Neodiprion lecontei: one gene and its partner. The protein of the gene in region 2 interacts with the protein of the main gene of each other region in a pairwise test. Links are inferred from orthologs where the notes say so. Each region holds a gene or a part of one and is shown on either strand. Other genes may lie near its edges.

The links. The genes of interacting proteins can lie anywhere in the genome.
Region 1: the proteins of phosphorylated adapter RNA export protein (region 2) and cytoplasmic dynein 2 light intermediate chain 1 interact in a two-hybrid assay, tested with the Drosophila melanogaster proteins (2 studies listed by BioGRID). The link is inferred for Neodiprion lecontei from reciprocal best matches to the Drosophila melanogaster genes Phax and CG3769.

What each region holds. Positions count from the first base shown.
Region 1 is NC_060261.1:16,697,033-16,707,397, forward strand, and holds the start of cytoplasmic dynein 2 light intermediate chain 1, read right to left. Parts: upstream 6,529-10,365; 5' UTR 5,547-6,528; coding exon 5,409-5,546; exon of another isoform or gene 5,382-5,408; intron 4,351-5,381; exon of another isoform or gene 4,342-4,350; coding exon 4,240-4,341; intron 1-4,239.
Region 2 is NC_060260.1:40,517,179-40,528,382, forward strand, and holds phosphorylated adapter RNA export protein, read left to right. Parts: upstream 1-3,385; 5' UTR 3,386-3,553; coding exon 3,554-3,604; intron 3,605-3,908; coding exon 3,909-4,518; intron 4,519-4,613; coding exon 4,614-4,892; intron 4,893-5,235; coding exon 5,236-5,507; 3' UTR 5,508-6,802; downstream 6,803-11,204. Other genes in the region: uncharacterized protein LOC107224896, read right to left, coding at 1,127-2,548; dynein axonemal heavy chain 7-like, read right to left, coding at 10,424-11,204.

The DNA of each region.
Region 1 (10,365 bases), on a different chromosome or scaffold from region 2:
ATCTTGTATGACATCGGGTGGTGAGAATTAAAATTCAAGTATCTTTGAGACCAAGTTTTCTTGTGGAACCAATCTGTTTTGATTTTAGAGTTGTTATGTATCAGTAGTAAATCCAGGAAATTGATGGCATTATTATTTTCTATTTCGATGGTGAATTGTAATCGTGGATGATATTGGTTGAAAATATTCAGTGTGTAGTCTATTTTTTCTTTAGGGACTGCAGTTGAGATATCGTCAACATATCGGAAATAGAAGGGTAAATCAAAATTTAGATTGCTGATACATGACCTTTCTAGGTCTTCCATCACCAGATCAGACAGGATTGGAGAGAGAGGGGATCCCATGGGCAACCCGAATTGTTGTGCGTATGTGTCGTTGTTAAATTTAAAGATTGCCGAATCAGAACAAATGTTTAAGGCTTTAACCAGTTCAGTAAGTGGGATTGGAATCTTTTTATCTAGAGAGGCCCAACGGTTTTTTACTGCGAGCATAGCGAGATCTATAGGTACATTAGTAAATAGAGATACCACATCTAGTGATATTAGAATATAATTATCTGGAATAATCAGTTTATTTATTTTTTCAACCAATGTAAAGCTATCTTTGACTCTGGAGGTAGGGGGGTGATATTTGTGGTGAGCCATGAATTAATTAGGTTAGATAATGCGTAAGTCGGGCTATTAACAAAAGAAACTATAATTCGTAGTGGGCTTCCTTCATTATGGATTTTAGGGAGCCCATATGCACGTGGGGGAACACTGTTATAGGTAGCGATGCTTCTGTGTATGCTTTTGTTTATTAGTTTGGAATTGAACCATTTGAAGGTGAGTTTATTCACCCTAGTCTGTAGGGTATTGCAGAGGTCGTATCTAGCAATTCTATAGATGTTAGTGTCCGAAAGCTGTTGTCGCATTTTGTTATTGTAAGTGTTCTGTGCATGGCTACTGACGTATTGCCTTTATCTGCTTTTAAAAACATGATGTTCGGGTTGTTTTTAAAACAGTGTTCATGGCTCACCACAAATATCACCCCCCCTACCTCCAGAGTCAAATATAGCTTTACATTGGTTGAAAAAATAAATAAACTGATTATTCCAGATAATTATATTCTAATATCACTAGATGTGGTATCTCTATTTACTAATGTACCTATAGATCTCGCTATGCTCGCAGTAAAAAACCGTTGGGCCTCTCTAGATAAAAAGATTCCAATCCCACTTACTGAACTGGTTAAAGCCTTAAACATTTGTTTTGATTCGGCAATCTTTAAATTTAACAACGACACATACGCACAACAATTCGGGTTGCCCATGGGATCCCCTCTCTCTCCAATCCTGTCTGATCTGGTGATGGAAGACCTAGAAAGGTCATGCATCAGCAATCTAAATTTTGATTTACCCTTCTATTTCCGATATGTTGACGATATCTCAACTGCAGTCCCTAAAGAAAAAATAGACTACACACTGAATATTTTCAACCAATATCATCCACGATTACAATTCACCATCGAAATAGAAAATAATAATGCCATCAATTTCCTGGATTTACTACTGATACATAACAACTCTGAAATCAAAACAGATTGGTTCCACAAGAAAACTTGGTCTCAAAGATACTTGAATTTTAATTCTCACCACCCGATGTCATACAAGATAGGTACCATCTTTAATCTTGTTGACCGAGCCATCAAACTATCAAATATAGAATTCCATGAAAAAAATTTGTCACTCATATATAATATTTTAAGATGGAACGACTATCCACATGGCCTTTTACACAAACATATAAATAAGAGACGCTTCCATATCAAGGACCTACTAGACAATAATATTGACTCTGTTTCCGCAGCGAAAACAATAGACCAGCCACTACATTTATTCCCATCCCATATGTATCGGGCCTCTTTGAGTCATTGAATAGGTTATTTACCAAATACAATGTCAAGTTTGTGGGAAAAAATTCAAAAGACCTACAACTTGTCTTTAATTCGGGAAAAGATAGGATCCCTATGGGCAAACGTTCGAATGTTGTTTACAAAATACCCTGTAACGATTGCGATCAAGTGTATATCGAACAAACTGGCCGCCATCTAGACACTAGAATTAAAGAACATAAACGCAATGTACAAGACAATGAGGATCGACATACTGCTCTAACCAAACATGTGACCAAAAAACAACATACTTTTAACTATGACAATGCAAACATCCTTTGTGAAGAACCCAATTATTATAAACGGTTACTACTAGAAATGTGCAATATTGTAGGACACCCAAATTCCGTTAATCTTAAACAAGACGTTGAACATCTTAGCAATATTTACAAACCGCTGATTACCTCCCACACAGCACACATTGTTTAACCTTAACTAAGTACATAAATTTGTTGTCCCCAGGCCACATGTTTTTATAATTGTTTATACTTGTTCACCTTCACTCTTGGTCATATTTGATTCTCCCATCAGTCGTTGTTTACCAGTTGACTCAAACGGTTTAACAAAAATTGTTCGGACATGGAGAACAGGATCATAATGATACCAGTACCACCGTTTGGACATTGTTTTAAACTATTTCAACTACCATAAACCCTTTCTCTAAAACTTTTTAATACATTGACTTATAGACAGTGAAGATACACAGTTTTTTTAATTAATTACTTCCATATTTTTAACAACTATACTTTTAACAATTGGAGAAGCTGACAACGATTATTGTCATTTATTTGAAGAACCTGCGCTCGCCAAATTGTATTTTACGATTCTGACTGTATATTAATCCTCCTTCCTATAAAAGGTAAATTACTCTTTAAGTTTTATCACTTTATAACCATAACAGATATTTAATATGTACCCACTATCCTACAATAGAGAATAGCTTCAATAGTTTTACGTCTATAGTAATTAATGTCTTATTGTATATTTTTTATATTATAAAAAAATTTTTTGTCCTTGACAGTTAAATAAAAAAATTAATCGTTCTGAGGAGGGCCCATATCCGGGCCGAAACGTTAACGAAAATACGTTTTACATTTCTATGACCGCTCACCAAGATTCAATAATATATTATCTACGAGGTCGAGAATTCTTACCCTTCACGACAAAAGATACAGTTGTGTAAGTAAGTACGGTACAACAAATGTTCGTCAGTAATTACATTTACGCGCTATAACTATGCTATAATACAAGATTTATCAAAGTTTTTTAAAACAATTTATGGGGATTTAATAAGGGAAAAAAGTAAGCCCAAAAACGTTGAAATCGAATGAAAAAAAAAACAGACTTCAATCATTCTAAACGTTCTGATTATGAAACCTTTTCTTAGATTGTCAGCATCTTAGATTGTGTTATTCTAAGTTACTCACAATTATTTCTATTACATTTCCGAAATAATCTTTTATTCGTGTTCACTATCTCCAGGCCAAATAAAATTGCTGAGGATTTTTTACACGCTTATTTCTCTTTTTCGAATTGTTGATTTAGACGGTGCAGACCATGCAGTAAAACTCCAAACGTTTTCGGTTCGTGTAAGATTTTGACAATACGTCAGATTTCATACAAATTTATTGCTATCCTGCATGTTTGGATTTATTGTACGCGGTAAGTTTCAATCGATATTTGTTCAATTAAAGTCGAAAACTGGCATTATTCGAAACAAACTTTGTGCCACACCTCTCATCAAACTTTCAAATCGTTTCACAGCTATAATCCTGGCAGCATAGAAATCAACAATTGCTAATTTGGAGTTTAGTGATTAATTATCAAGTTGTGCCACTTGCTTGCAATTGTAAATATTCAGATACATTTGTAACTATCGTGCAATTCTTGAACACCCGATTTGATCTTTCTTTCGCAAAATTTGAACTTTTGTGATGGGAGATAATGTGATTTTAATTTAGGAACATAAAAAACTGGTAATGTTTACATAATTATAGATAATTCATGGCAAATTTCAATGAGTCGCGATCAACGAGGTGTGGTTCATTACACCTTATAACAACCACATTTCTAATCAAAATAAAAGATTATCATATTTTTCTCAATTTTACTTTGAAATACGAGTAACTTGCTGTGAAAAAACTCTGATACGATATGCCAGCCCTTGCGGAAAATCGTTGCTTGAGGCTATTAATTGATTATATTGAGTATGACTTGCATCTTATATTTGTTACAAAATGCATGCATATCATTATTTTGGACGCATTTTTATATTGCTGTGGTTATTGTCGTATCTATAATGCTTACTAAGCTTTTTCCAGCCTTTCGTCCGAACGAATAATCCATAGCAATGGTTGCCTTGGGCGATTCTTCTTTTTCCAAAAACCGGTAAACCATCGTAGTTTTTCCCTGAAATTACTATCGCATTATGGAATTTCGATTACACCGTCTTGACAACATCAATCAAAACATGGGCGTTTGGATCAGAGTTAATAAGCAATTTCCTACTAAAAATATTCAAGTACACATCATATACGTAAAAATAAAACTTGTAGGTAATTTTTTCTCTTTTCTCGAGCCACCCATATTTCTCCTTCTGTTAATCGTCTGTAAGAAAATTTCCGGCAAGAATTTAACATAACGTCGTGTAATTTAATTACACTCCGCACTGGCTCAATGAATGTGGAATAATCGATTTGAAACAATGAAGGTGTGCCTTTTCAAACGTTTTTAAAAGCACCCCATCATGCTTTCCCTTCCCCCTTTGAATCCATAGTATCCAGGGTTGTGGGCTCGACGTTGAAACCGATCGATAGACGAATATACGGAGCCGTATGAGTCGATCAGCTTTAAGGCCAGGCTACTGCTGCTTCGACTGTTAATTTTTTCATAAAAAACTTAATCACCGCAGTGTGTAAATTAAACAAAAATTTCTCGAACTGAATTTTGCACCTGGTAGGGACAAGCTTGTTTGTTAAAGGTAAACTCTAAAAAATTTTGAAAACAAAGAGAATAATAAAAACATAATGATCACAATGGTAGTTGATTTGAAATCGGTAGAAAGAAACGATATTGATTCAAGACAAGAAAGAATACGTCTATATTTTTTTTTTTTTTTTTTTCTGAGAGTTATGTTGATTTCACAAATTTAAACATGAATTAATGTTTGGAAAATTCATAACTCGTGAACCAGTTGAGGTACAATTTATTTTTTAATCTTGGATTCAAATTTCTACATAGTCAGAATTCGACCAACAAAAATCGAGCGAATCATACACTTCGACTCAAAATCTTATTCGCATTCAAATTTTACGCCCCATGGGAACTCTTGCGGTAGTCGAGGCGATTACTGACTAATGCCACGGCGTCTGATCACTCACCCATAAAACTGTATCTCATATTATATATCAACTCGCCCGACTATTCATGCGCGAGGGTATTTGTCTAACCTTGAAGTTGCTGTTTCCACCACTTACCACTCCTTTGCTTCCTATAATGATAATAGATCGTTCGTGAGTAATCGAACGATCGGTCTTCCGCTTATTTTCATCTTCTAAAGATAGTCGGAGTGCCATTTCCCTCATACTTTCCTCTCTAAACGAAACACAAGACATAAAACATGCGTAATAACGAGTGAAGTTATATTAACGCTGCTGCAGTGTCATATTGGCATAATGGTCCTAGAATTCAGAATTACGCTTTCTGGCGGCGGTAAATATGCAACACTAATTGCGTCATATTCAATGATGAAAGTGGTTTTTTCTCATGTGTTTTACTCTACATTGACTTAACGTCAGTAAATGAAAGTCCAACAAGCTGCACAGTGCTTCCTGCGGTTTCATATCTCCTATGTTTGCTTAAAATGATCAGCTGATTGCAATTTCCGACGCCATATTGTCCTAACCACGCTTACATCAGGGATCTTAATACATTCAATTGGAAACTGACGTAGAATAATTTAATCGCGAGGTTGAAGGTCGTTTATAAGAATTATATCGCTATTTTCCATCTCTTCGGAAAGGTTCGAAGTTCGTGAAAAAATCGTAAATGATGATGGTACAAAAAAAGAAAAATTAACCCTGTGATAAAATGAATGTATAACTTCATAATTGCTTTTTGGAAAGTTCTAAGAAATAAATCATATTTTCGGACACTATAGCAAAATTCAGCATTATTTTAAATTCAGATCACAAGAAACATTTTCGAGTTTTCGATCAGAACTCATGTATTCTATCGGATTCTCATGTTTCGTTTTACTGAAGATCTGATAAAATTGGAATTCTGATATTTCTGTGTATTTTTAAAGGTTATTGCACCATGAAACATTGGAATCATTTTCTGAGAGAAGAAAGAAATTTTTAGGAAACAGATAAAACTGATTTTTTTCATTTTCAATAACACTAGAATTACGAAAACTTGTCAGAAATTATCTCGACTCGCAAAGGGTACAATTACCTTTATATTCAGGTAATCTGAACTTGCAAAATATTGTAATTCACGTAATAACACGAACTTCAATCTCATAAGTAAAACAAGTTATACAGAACCCGCGTAATCTCATTTATTGGTAAATATACGGACTGCATTTAGGATAATAATCAATACGACGTAACAATTACAAGACTCACGTCGCGTCCATGATGATAAATGCTGATAAATTATTCCGTAACTGTTTATACTGATAAAAGTAGAAAGTAAATCATCCGACACGTCTATCCGTCGACGAGCTCGAAGGTTGAGCTTTTGTTTGCCCGAAAAGCGTTGCCATAGCATCGCAACGTCGGCGACATTTTGTATACGATAATGACTATATGCATGTCTATCGCATAAGCAATTTGTATGAAACATGGCCTTGGGAATCCACGAGGAAAGAACCAACAAGCGAAAGGTGGTCGGTGGAACAACCACTCATATTGTATCCAAGGACTTTAAAAGATTTCACAGAATTTCCGATGATTTCGATGAGATTCTAGAAAATTTCAATAGATCTAAGAATATTTGAGGCATTCCATGTGATTTCAATGATTTCGCTAAATGTCACAGGATTTCGAAGGATTTTACGCGATTTCAAAGATATTAGGTAATTTCAAGACTTCCCGGATCTCGGAGATTTTATGTAATGCAGTTTTGAATATCTTAGGAAATTCGAGGAGTTCAAGAGGTTTCAGATAATTTCACATTATTTCACAAGATTTCGAAGGATTTCAGATATTTCAAGTGTTTTCAAAGATTTCAAAGGATTACAAGACTTTAGAGATTTTAAATGATTTCTGGGATTCGAAGAACTTCGGATACTTTACAAATTTTAGATGCTATCACAAGATTTTGCGTAATCGCAGATGATTTGACGGGATTTCAGAAGATTTCAGAGAATTGAAATGATTTCAGATGATCTCACGAGTGGCATAAACCAGGTTTCAAGGGTGGTTAACCTCTCACCGACAAAAATTTCAATGTTTGAGACAGAAATAATTATTTATATTTTTATAATAACTGTAAGCTATATTTATTTTCATAGTGTATAATCAGATTGAAGAAGTTGCAGTAACAATACCAAGACACTGTAGTGAAACGGTGAATTGGCCTTGGAAATGCAGCCAAGTGCAGCTTTCGACAGGTTTTACATGTAATACGTTATTACAACATCCGAACTCTATACGGTCGCATTGCCATGAAAATGTAAATAGTTGGATGGCTGCAATCAATACCCTGCATTATTGAGGGTAACACGACGAGTCAATGCTTCTCAATTGTTTATTGAATAATAAATAACGAAGAAAATTGTCTTCCGGTGAATGAACAGACTCCATATGGCTTGTCACAATGCGGCGACAGCAACGGCAACATGATTGCAATATTATTAAAAGCTTGTATCTTACAGAACATGTGTTTACTATATATTATGTATATTCTTAAAGTCATTTTTTAAGTGTCTACACCAACGTTACGTGTGTAAGTAAGTGTAACGCATAATTCTTTCAGTATTTTTATCATACTATCAATAACGATATCGCTCAATCGGTTATGTACAAGATGGACTAGACAAACACAACATTGGAATGCTCAGGCAGTATTTCCACTGTTCGTTAATAGTCGCTTAAAATTACTTAACAATTAGGGTGCTTTTTTTTGAAGCAACATGTTTTCCGCTCCTATCAGTCAAACTTGTTGATATATAGAAAGAAAATTTACGAGGATAGACAGACATTACTTATGCAATTTTAGTTTTTCTTACATTGTCACGACTTAACCGCTTTTAACAATAAAGACTTAATCCTACCTAGAAACATTTTGTAGAGAATTAAACTCTATGGATAAACGTGTGTAGAATTTTTATTGTTAAATCGATAGTTCAGCCACTAAAGAAGTTTAAACATGAATTCTTATATAAAATGAACTTTCGAGGTTTTAACGTTTAACGCTTTTGAAGAAAATTCTACCCTCTAAAAATGCTTCGAGGATTAAGTTCGTATAATGAAATGCGTCTGAATGGTAAATTTTTTTTAAACAATTAGTGAAATCTTTACAATGTTAATCAAATGGAAAAATTTGAAATTCCGAGCCACCTTTCAAAATTGAATTTGAAGGATAACCTACTGCATTTTTATTTTTTATTTTTATTAAGTATTAGTTTTTCATTTGGGAGCGAAAAAAAATGTTGCTCCATAAAAAAACACCCTAATAACAATATGGAAGTAAGTATATACATTTTTTACATTAATATTTATACTGTTTGCATACGTGCACGTTTCTCAAGATGGAGGCTTTTTGCATAGACAATAAGTTTGATTTCACGGTCAACATGCATGTTAAGAATAATTCAAATATGTAAACTATAGTATAACAAGTACGTTGACAAACTTAAACAAAATATTTTATAAATTGTTTAAATTTCAATATTTCGTATCGCAGAGCGATAACAATATGCAAAATTGTTCGAATATACAATTTTTATCGCATATTAACTAGACCCATCCACCTTGATGCTATTTTGAAATGTACCTACATTTTCCACAAAAAAAAAAAAAAAAAACACTTCCATTTAAAGAATTGAATATTATTCCTAATTACACGAGAAAATACAAGTTGTACCATCTTTAAGTAGAAATTGTATAACGATAAAGCAGAATCAAAATTGTGATAATAATTGAATGGTGGGATAAACTAAAATAGTACCAAGTAATTATTGATGCCACTTAATGTGTAATTCATAAAGACTTGATAATGTGTATTCAAAAATTGCACTGAAAATTTTTAAATAGAAAACCGTACATTAGCAAAAAAAAAAAAAAACAAATTACGAACAAATTCAAAATCGATCGCAAAAAAAAAAAAAAAAAAAAAAAAATGGGTGCGACAGTAAATCAACTATTCAGACCACGCCGAACCAAAATTAAACATTTCAAATTCTTACATATATCTTCTGATCTCATGTAATTTAAATATATCTGTGTAAGAAATTAAAAAAAAAAAAAAACTATATATGATTAGTCAAACCAGTTTTGAGTAAAATAAATGGATAATCATTTCACAATTTTCATTCAAATATCATGAATTTTAGGTACTTTCGACTTAGATATCAAAATTGTCTACCGGTTTATTAAGCTATTGTATTAACCCTTACGCTGCACACCGGGGTCAAAATGACCCCGTTGCATCTTCACCGTATATTCTATGTGAAAAACATCAAAAATAATCTGATTTGATCCAAGATAAACAATGTAATATCATAAAAGTCATTAGTTCATTCTTTTCCCAAGAATTCAATTTCACTCACTCAAATGGATACTTATTTTTCATCGTGCAAGTATCTTCATATTTTTTTTCTTGATTATCTCTGTCTAGAAAAATACTGAGTAAATTTTCAGCTCAAAATAGTGAAAATTCAGTCAGCTATGATTTTCTGAGTAGAATAATTAATTTTTTGGTACATTGTTGATTTATGATTTTTTTTTTTGCATATTCATAATTTCGTTTTGCTAAATTCATATAATCTTCCTTGAAACGTAATAGTCAAAGAGTATCCCAGAATTTTTTCAAGGCCTTTCAATCGATATCTCCGTTTCCAGGCAATGATTTTTGACATGGGGTCTCCAGCGACCCCAGTGAGACACCAGCGTAAGGATTAATATTCTAAATGCAAAATCCACGATATTACATTACATGAGATATTTTCTAACAGAAATTTATAAGTCAAAACAATCAGTGTTGTTAGAAAGTTATATTTCTAAAATTCCTACTAATTAAAAAGAAAAAAAAAAAATGTTTTTCTATTTCTCCTACCCAAAGATACCAAATAATAATAATAAATTCACTAATCGTATCGCAGTGAAGTTTTCTGAAAAATTGTATACACTACACTTTAAATTTTTAATTTTTGATCATATCCCTGACGTTTCCAGGTAAATTTCAATGCTGAAATAACACGAAGAA
Region 2 (11,204 bases):
ACGCAATGAAAATTAGTCTAGTTACTGATGATTACGGAGGAGCTTTGCATAGCAATCACAGGAGCGTGGATTAGAGTGAGTTGAAGAATGCGTAAATAAATTTGAGAAATTGAATATATGACCTCAAATTTAATAGTTGAAAGGGGTAAGGTTATTGTACAAAAATATCATTGATCACTCATCATTGAGTAGTGTAAAGCCAAAATTCGATTATTTATATTACGTAAAAAATAAAAAAAGAAGTATCAATGTTTCAAATTACAATATGACAACAGTTCATCTCATAAGTCATATTACGTATACAAATCTTTAGTACTTTTGAAAATATAAATAGATAAGCATATCGCAGCAATGTTTGTAAAATCAGAGTGAGTGGTGAGTAAAACATAGCCCATATTATTGTGTATAAAACTTTTCGGGCCTCTTTTGGCACAAATACGCCAATTGTCAAGTTCAAAAAAATTATGTAACTCTCACTCAATGTTTGTGCTATGAATTAACGGATGGTCCAAGAATAGTTTCCATTGATACTTTACCGACTACCTTATAAAATCTATTCAGAGCATAATGGATGAATATATAAAAGTGCGCGAGGGTAGTCATCACCCGAGGGAATAATCTTCAACTTTATTCCCTTGTTACATAACGTACTATATTTTAGAGAATATATATATATCTATACACATTTGCGATATGTTCATTAAGTGTTAGAAATTTTTTGATTAGAAATTATTTCTAACAGTGATATTTTTTATTTCACAGTTACGATTATTCCTTCTTGGCCATTGGAATTTTTTTTTCCTCCACAAGGTGATCAAAATTAGACATGACAAAATGTATGCGTGAAAACTGGAATTTTTCATTGATCTACCAGATAAATTTTTTTAACCCTGAAATTTATATGAAATCGATTGCTTAGAATTTGTTTAGCTTCAACTCAGTTTCGCTTACGAAAATATGGAACATCAACTGGTTTCAAAGGCTGATTGTATGGCCAGTCCTTTTCGGTCTTAGGCGGATATCCATCGATCCGTACAACCATTCAGCATATTTAGGAATCTGTTCCTCAATGGGAATTTCATATTATTTACATTCACCGTATTGTACCCGATAATTAAAAAAATAATCATTTGCTGATTGAGCTTTGTCTGGTCATGTATTGTTTAAAAATTGGCGCATTTATTATATTTTCAGCAAATTTTGAAATTGATCTATCATGCGTATAGCTCATTTCATTTTCGGAATTTGAACAATACTGATAACGATTTACATTGATTAAGTCTGCACCAGGCGAAATATAGCTATCAATATCAATACTATCTGTAATCCAACTTTTGTGTGGTTTGCTAATAGAAACGTGACGATTTTTCATGCTACCCTCGGAAATCTTGCGAGTTTTTTTAAAAATCATTAGTGTGGTGTTTCCAGTTGGATGATAGTCCTCTTGTTGGGTACAAAACAATGATGAATTCAGTCGATAGTGATCACTAGCTAATAAGCCTTTCTCAAAATCTATTAATAACTCTGCCAGAGTATGATGATATTTTAAAACAATGTACTCTTCCCAGTACAAAGTTATGCTATATTTGACTTTATTGTATGTACGATAAAGACAGTCCCTTTCAGCAATTTCCCCAGAAATGCCTGGAGAAATTCTAGTATAGGGAAAATTCCATGGTACGACAGTGAATGTGACGTTAAGCCCTTGGCTATTCATTATTTGTTTCATAGTATCTGTAAATATACTTGGAATACCGTAATCGTAAACAATAAAATGATCAACTCCGATCATTTGATGAAAACTTAAGAAGTTCATCATGTCCGTACGAGAAATAGATCTGTTTAATGGCGGAGCTATGCATATGGCTATATCATTGGTTATCAGGTTATGTGGTAAATTTTGCACACTTAAAATTGGATATTCACTTTCAGATACGTCCCTTTTATTAAAAAAGGACACTCCTTCAGGGATAGCAGGCTGAGAGTACTCACAGACAAACTGGTACGCAGCATACTCTAAATTTTTCCTAGATTGGCTTTTAAGTAAGTTGCTAATTCTTGAATGTTTGAATATCCCCAGAACATGCTGTTCTTTCCCTTGGATAAACACATGGCAATTTATGTCTGGAATGATATATGTTTTCCCAAAGGCGATCCCTCGGACTTCATTTATGTTTGCATGGTAAGCTGCGTAAACAAACAAGTCATTGTTTATTCTTTGCCAAGATGGTAGTGGTACGTCAAAGTGGAGATGGAGATCATCGGAGATATCAATCTCTCCTAAGCGGTTGACGTCAGGTTCCTTAACTCCGGGCTTACCAAAGAAACTTATCACTTCTAGGACGTATCGCAGTTTGTTATATTCATGCCTGTAGAATAGCAATGATACCACACTCACCAGAGCTGTGATAATTAATGCTGCTTGATAATATTTCCTCATGCTGCTGTTATTGGGGCGTTTTGTTATTGTTATAGTCGTTGCAGTACGTGTACTACCACAATTATGTCTTAGATGGGCCTGTGCGATATCAAACCCCTCTTTTATCATACTAATCTGGTTATCACCCTGGCAAAGAAAATGTATTATGTAGGTAATCAATTGTTTACTTTTGTAAGTCTTTTTATCGTAAACAATGTGCGAATATGATAACGTGTGACAAATATTTCAAAGCATACCTGATCTAAACAGCTCTTTGGTTTGTTCGTTCTTCAATTAGGAATAGAAGAATCTGCATGGCAAATAAATTCCTATGGATATTACTGAATCGTGTGTTTTCTATGAACGTAGGTCAATGGAATTGATCTATTCACAATTCATTTCATACCGGTAAAAATAGAAAGTGAAATAAATTAGAAGAAACATAGACGCGCCGTAACATTTTTTCTGTGGTACAGTTGTGGAGATTTTGAGATTGGCATTCCAGTCTGGTTATGATGACAGTAATCAAGACTGACATCTGAGTATACGTGATGGTAACATTCGTTCTTGATGTCTTTACATACCGATAGTTCATCGACTCAAGTTGCGCCACGCAGAGGGCACTGCTTGACGATGAATTTATGTTGTCTATTTTCGATAGATTGGATCGGTTAGATTCACTTCCTCAGATTCGATGGTCATGGATTGTGTTATGTTTATTGAGATTGAGTTTGTTTTGCGTTCGGCCGACTGTGGCGCTGCAGGTTTCTCTGTGTGCCAACATAACTGTTTAGTGTAAAAAATTAGCCGTCTCAGATTCATTGTCCCTAGTGTACATACATACCGATACATACCCACACCATCCAACTTATCACCATCATGGCGCATGCGTATGGATACTCCATTTGTAACATTGTGTATTGGATGCATTAAATATATGTATATGTATACATACATCCATACACACATCGGAATAGCATCATACTATCGCAGCGCAGTAAATGAACGATATGCCTTAAATGCTTGGTGAAATCGGATGAGTTGAAAATTATTTTACTTCTGAAGAGAAAACAAAAATCATAATTACTCATATCTCCACCGTGGGCATTGCGTTGAAACAAGTTTCTAGCGAGTATGGAAACTGAACCGGTAGAACTTGAAGATGGAGAAGTTGTGGATGACGAGGTTAAACATTTTACGTTTGACAGAAAGCTAACCTTCGTTGATATCTTTACTCAATTCTGCATTTATATCTACAGGAATAAGTTAATACGGTTGATTTGAGTCGCGATTGTTACACAACCATTGCATTCGATCACAAACATCGATGAGTTTTATGACAGAATCCGCGTTTACCAATATCCACTTTTTTTTTAGCATTTCAGTTTTTGGAAAGACTGATATGTTTCATTAAAGTGTAAAAATTCTGTAAGGACTCTTTACAAAGCCTAGTATATCCATAAATTTTACATCATTTACCTTTGTACAGGTTGTCGATGCGTTCGAGTACAATGTTTTAGAGCGGCCTCATGTTGCCCCCAGACCTGAGGATACATCGTCCAAACTACATTACAGTGATGAATCAGATGAGCCCACGGAATCTGAAAGTGATTCGGACTCAGATTCGGCACATACTTGTTCCAAGAAGCCAAAGATGAAGATAAAACGGTGGAAGAATAGAGAGGTAGAGAAAAAAGAAGCTCAAGACAAGTACAAGGTGTGGTGTATGCAGGTTCAGGAAGAAGCACTCACGGAGGAACTTGTATCATGCGGGGTCACTAAGCGAGATTATCAGGGTAGAAATGTCGAATTCTATGACTTCACTGTTCGATATTCCCCCAATGAACAACAGACACCAGCTGAACTTAGTTCGGATACTGAGAAAGATGCTCCACCTAGGATTAACAACAAAAGGACAAATGAGGATAGGACAAACCTTAAGTTAAGGCTTGGTAAACGAAGAAATTCTATGGAAATTGATGGGCAGCGAGGAGTTGCGAGAAAAATACTTGACTTGCGCACCACTGCCGATTCTGATGACGGAGACGTAGCTGCAGATATAGCGGAAAAGCTGTGCGAAAAGAAAGATGATCTCATAAGTAAGCAAGAGTGTGAATGTCTTTTTATTCGTAGTTATTCCTGTTAAGGGTAAAGTTATCATCATCTACACTGTGATGTTGATTTCAATTTTCAGAAAGAGCAGTGAGTATAATAGGAAAAGAAAAAGCCATAGATTTCTTCGAACAAACTAAAAAAATTGAGGAAGACGGGGGAATGATGATAGTGAACGGATCACGTAGGAGGACTCCGGGAGGAGTTTTTTTGTTACTATTGAAGCAAGATGATCACATTCCTCAGGAAAAAATACGAGCAATTTTCCAAGAGGACCGTAAACAGACTGTCGAACAGAGAAAGCAGGCGCAAGCTTCCAGCAGGAGACGGAAAACACAGGAACTAATGCGGAGTCTCGAAAGTAATTCAAAATATAACATATTATGCAAATCATTTCATATAATTTATACCTCTAGATTACTATACAGTGAAACTTCTTTTAACGCACACCTCCCAACAAGGATTCTTCTTTACAACGGACAGTATAAAAATCTCTAGAAGCAGAATTTACACGCTAATATTGTTCTGAATAGTGGACACTCTTCAATAACGGACAATATGTTTAGTTCCGAAGATGTCCACTATTCGGAAATTTCACTTACGCTCTTTTTTCCGAAATCTTACTGTAACATTTACAATGTAAAGCTAATCTTCGCACTTATTGATTCCTTCATAATCTAAAACATTTCTGGACCAAATTGTAGATGGCTCTGAAAAGGATCTTCCAGCCCTACTAACGCGTGCCGAGCTCTCAACGAGGCAGATCGCGGAGGAAGCGCGATTGAGGAGAGGGGAGGGTCGTGATAGAGAAAGAACTCCGCCAGACTCTGACCGTCCAGTGACAAATCCACCACCCAGTCCCGTAACAGATGATCCCGACCACACACCTCCGTCTTCACGTAGACAAGTTCAGGATTACGCAGCCGATGACTTCCTTGAGATTGGGGTGGATGTCGACAGCATGGAGTTGTTTTAAAATCTACGAACAAGTTTATATTACGCGAGCGTATCGATATTATCAATTATTAGCTCTATTTTAGAGCTGGAAAGTTGTCTCAAACTTTACAGAGGCTGCTGATGTGTTTTTTTATACGGAAATTTACTGCATTAGGACAGTACAGGTATGCATACAGATTGGTGACTGAAATAATTACTTGGCTATTGCCTGAAGGTAATTACGATCAGTGAAGAGAGAACAGTACAAGTACCAAATAAACAATGTCGTTCTCTTTTGTTATTCACGTTTTTTTTGCAATTGATATAACTATAAATATCTGTGCATGAATCAAAAATAGCTAAAATAATTTGAAAAAGCTGCATTCACTTCTCCTATCCGTTGGATGAAATCCGCCTTTAAAGATCTCCGAACGGGCATAAAATATTCTCTTTTAGTTTTGTCAGATTCGTGTTGTTTGGCACGTTTTACGTGTAGTAACGTGGTATAGTTTATGCTTAATCGAATTTTATGTAAATTCACACTGTGTTTATCCTTCGCGTTTGTTTCTACCCGGTTTCTGAGTGGACGCCAAACAGATTTTAATGTTTCTATATAGTTGAAAGGAAACAGGAACATGATTGCAAGATGCCTATATCGTCGGGGCGCAGCCTCTGTTACCGAATTAAGCCAATAAATTTATGTACAGGAAGTTACTTTTTCAGGCGACTTCTTAGATAACATGTAATCATAATGTATGAAATATAAGAGATCGAACTAAGTCTAAGCGCCGATATTCTGAAACGAAAAATTCATTTTGTAATATATAATCTCCTCGGTAAGATCCGAGAGCATTTTGTGTGTTTTATTAATGCTATACTGAATCAACCCAGCAACATATTTCTATGGAAACGGTTCTAAGTCGATTCCTCAATTTTGTCACTCAATATTCGATTAAGGAATTTTTTTTAATTTTAATTCCGGCAAATAATCAACGAACAATTTAAGTATACTGACTTTGATCCCAGTCCATATTTGGATAAAAATAATTGAACAAATGTTTTTGATGTTTGCAATATTTTATTTGTGGTTTATTTGTTGTCATTTTCTATTCGGGAAAAAATCTTCGTAGCTACAAATGTTATCTTATTCCTATGGGCTTATGCCATTTCTCAAAAAGACGAAAGCTTATAAAAGAATAGGGACCGTTTTGAGAATTAACATTAATATGTCAAACCCGTCATGGAGTGGAGTTTTTTTACGGTTATGAAAATGACCCGAGGCTGTGATATCGTAATTTACTGACATCGAGAATAAACGGATATTGAATGCATGTATATAGCACCGAGGGATTGGAGATTGTTTTTTTTTCCTCTTTAATAACGCTAATTTACTAATACTCAATACCTACTACTGAAAGTAAATTACTATCATGCCCTCCGGTGACTTTATACATATATACCTATGGCCTTCGGAAATTGTCTTCAATACTGGTTTAAGACTGTATCAGACTTCTTAACGTCCATCATTCCAGGTTTCAATATGAGTTTTTTGAACATCATTAGACGGTTTCCGCGTAGACTTTATGAAGTATGTTTTAATCATTTTTAAATTTCGCCTTCCTTTCTGTTTAATTTGTTAATCGCATTTGTCAAATTAAATATTACTTTTCTGTTCCGTCTCTATTTTTTCATTATTTCGCATAGCTGAAGATTCATATGCCGAAAGGACTATCCATTTCTTAAAATTTTCAAGTCGACATTTTGATACGGATTCATTTCTTCGGTAAATCGAACTTTCGCGATTTCGTCAGTTTCCTGAAATTTGTGTCGTTCCTAGAAGACAATCCGCGTGTAATCGTTCCTTTGCATGTATACATACCGAGACAACGAATCTGTGATCAACTCATGGAATCAACTAAATTTACGATTTCTTAACGCCAAATAGAAATTCAGTTAGTTCAATTAAACATTAGTTGATGTAATTAAAAAATAGTTTAAGTAAAAATGTCATCGATTGATGAAGTGATGTTTAGTTGCAGTGACTAAATTTTTTAGCGGCCCTTCATCGCCGATTTGCTAATTGATTCAATCGATTCTTTTTCTCGGTGTATGAACATACATACATATTTTTTATACGCCGCGCTATATTATACTGGTCTACAGTGACGAGAGGGTTGTTATTCGCAGATGGATATGTGACGACACAAGATTCGACATTGGTTTAATATACTTACGAAGCAGGAAGCATTCAACGATCTGAAGCGGAAATCTATTTCCACTATTCGTGTTCGTGGTTTATTAAAGTAAGGGTCTCAGTTAATGAGCTTGTCTCAATTATTGACATTTTTTGAATGTGTCCGTTTGATCTTTAGTTCTAAAATTACTAAAAAATGAATTCGTAGTGCCTAACCCTCTAGCGATTGGTTGTAATCATCGAGAAATTCACAATTTGTGTTGTAAATTTATAATTTTGGAAAATAAACGGGTCAATAATTGGGTCTAAACGTGTGAATAACTGGTACACTTACCTTATGCTTATTTAGCTTTTTTCTCTCATTAAGATCAGTTTAATGAGCTTTAAGGATTATTCTTGGTGTACGAAAAGATGCGTGACTTCTTGTGCGTCGCACAACATGACAATGCTTCTTCTCTTCAGAATTTCGACAATCCGTTTCGTCACGACTTATCATCTATCGCGAATTTGAATGATGTTCAGTTCCCCGGCCATATTTCGCCAGCTACGAGTCTTACACACTCTACTGAAATATCTGTCACATTTCAGTGTATTTGATGAATTTTCATTCCACGTTACATCTACTCGTTACGGTTTTATTATCCGTGTCATAACTTATACTGGCATGTTTCGTGATATATTTCGTTGACTTAAGAATGATTTCACTTTTCACCGCGTTGTATAGCACTTCTCCACTTAGGCATAACGCTATTATAACATGTACTTGCGATATATCCTGTCACAATTTGATCACGTTTAAAATTTCGCGTATTGTGCTGTATTGAGAAGTAGGAAACTTTAACGACGTATACGGCAAACTAATATTGCTGAAACGTCTTACATCAGAAACATAATTTCACGATTTCCAATGTATCAGCCAGATTTCCCAAATCAATCAATATTATGTTACAATAGCGTTGACACATGGCAATCGTTGCCATCAAACAGAAAGGACGACCGCATTTTGTCCTTGATGGTAAAAATATGACCACGATTGCGCATTATCTATGAAGAACGTTCTATGAATATAACTTGCTCGGTCGCGTAATGCAGTTTCAAAATTTTGCTGCGCATGAAGTAATCGTACGGTTAGGTATTTTCACGATCAGTTTTGTATGTATAAAAGTAGAATATTGTGGAAATGTTGCTGCAATCTGTCTGTAATGTATTTTGCACGCCAGATAAATATCAGAATATTTCACTGCAATCTTACCGAAGTATTACGAAGATAATGAGTCCTGCATACAGTTAAGGATTTACAGGTAAAGTTTTTAGTTTCTCGCTCTCGAAGAAAAATATTGGTATAGTTCTTAATGACATGTTTAATAACAATATACAGAAATTCGATGACCAAGTTAAATTATAAAAAACCCTACATGTGCTAAGGTTTAAAGTGCGTAACAAGAACGGTGGAAAGAACCATTACGTGTATTAAGAACATTTAAAAGCAATAGCGAAGAGCGGAGGAGAAGGTGAGAGGCCGTGGTTTTTCCTCGAAATGTAGAACTTATTGTGAACTGAACAGTTATCGGAAAGTTTTCCCAAGCGCAACTATCAATTACTTGAATCCGAAAATACCTTCGGGCTATCTGTGCGAGTTAAGTGGCTGCTAGTGGCAGAAGGAACGGGATATTGATGATGACAGAAGATATATAAACCAGGAGTTATTCACAATCGAAGACAGTCCAACTTTGGCGCTGCAGAAACGGGCTGGTTGATGTTTACAACTGACATCGCTTGTCCAAAATATAAAGAAGTAACATCCAGAAAAACTTGTTCCGAATTTACATATATATTTCAATATCAGAAAATGGCGAAGTTTGAAAAGGTTTGTGCCTTCGTTATTGTACTTTTCGGAGTCTTATCCATCTGCCAGTGCGCTGGTGTCGATGATCTATTAAACGATTCAACGTTAGTCAGAAAGCAGCTGAACTGTGTGTTGGACAAAGGACCGTGCGATGCGATTGGAGTCTCTGTAAAAGGTAACTGCTAAATTAAAGTAACAATTTTGCCGGAATTTGGAAAATCAGGTGCAATTATAGTCCAGCTGACTGTAATTGTCAAACGTCATGACTGTGAATTGACTGGATCATTCCGTATCCTTGCACAATCTGTAGGTGTTTTGTAATAATTTTACGAAAGTGCATCAGTTGAAACAAAAGAAATCGCGCAGATGGTTGACTGTAGAATAATAATAGTTCCTCGTAAATGCGAATATCTAGCCCGACTTTCAAACATTTTTTTATTTTGTGTGACAATAAATTTTGATAATTACGTAAACTGTTTTTATTTTTTAACAGCTTCAATCAGGGAAGTATTAATCAACAATTGCCGCAATTGTAACCAACAACAGGCAGCGAATGCACGTAGAGTTATGGAGTTTGTGAGGACGAGGTACCCGGCTGAATGGAACGAAATAAGTCGCAAGTACGTGGGAAGCGCCAGGGGATGATTTAATTCGAACAAAATTATTGTAAGCTCTGTTAATAAAAACTTGTCAATTCAATAAAAAAAATATAATGTCTGTTATCGTATGAATCGATATATTATGTTACTATTAATTCCTGATTAGTTTTTCTCTGATTTGCATTTCCACTCATTTGTTTTCACCTACCGCCTTGTTACGTCGACTGGCGACGCTTATTCGAACGTACCAGTAAAATATTCTTATCCTTTAACGTCGTGCTTCAGTCGAATCTCCATGATTTGGTGATATTCCGTGACTATTGTTCGTCGCGTTGACAGTAAAGTACAGCTCGCCTGCTTAGCCAGAATTCAATCGGTCTGTCCGTATCGAGATTAACGTTAAGTAGATAATTATTCATACGACCCATCGAGTCAAACGCGTAAATATCTTTGACAACGGATGTGTAAAGTGGACATTCGTATTTTTCCGATTGGCTGATCAAGTCCGTTAGTCTGTAGCGCAGTATCGGCATTCGATTCCACAATACCTTTGGCGAGCTTTCGACGAGCACCATCCGTTCAAGATCCCATCTGGCACTTGTCAGGAACAATCCGCTGATCAAGACTCCATCGATGGTTGACTGAATCGGCAAGTCTTCCGGATGGTATGTCTGAAGAACTTCAAAGTCAAATCGAGCATCGTGTAAAGCAAGGCCTCGTTCTCGGGTGAAAGTCAGACGTGCCGCAGCCAAAAATGCCGTTCCCGAAGAGATACCGCCGAGCCAATAGGCGCGTGGCGAACCTCCCTCGAACCAGTCGTTCAGAAAGTTAAGCCTATTCAGAAGATCTTCGATGAAGATTAGCAACGAACTAGTTGGCGGGTCGTACGGACACGCTTTCCTCCAAGAAATCGGCACTTTCCCCAAATGGATCTCACGCGAAAATTCTTCAAGCGATAGCGTCCATTCACCACGTCCTTGCAACGCGTTTTCCAGGATATCCGCGGAATGCCTCGTCTCTTCTATTAGCACGTTGTACAGCTCCATTTCTCTAAACATAACTGCTTTTATAGGCTCTCGGCAGCTCATCGGATACTTT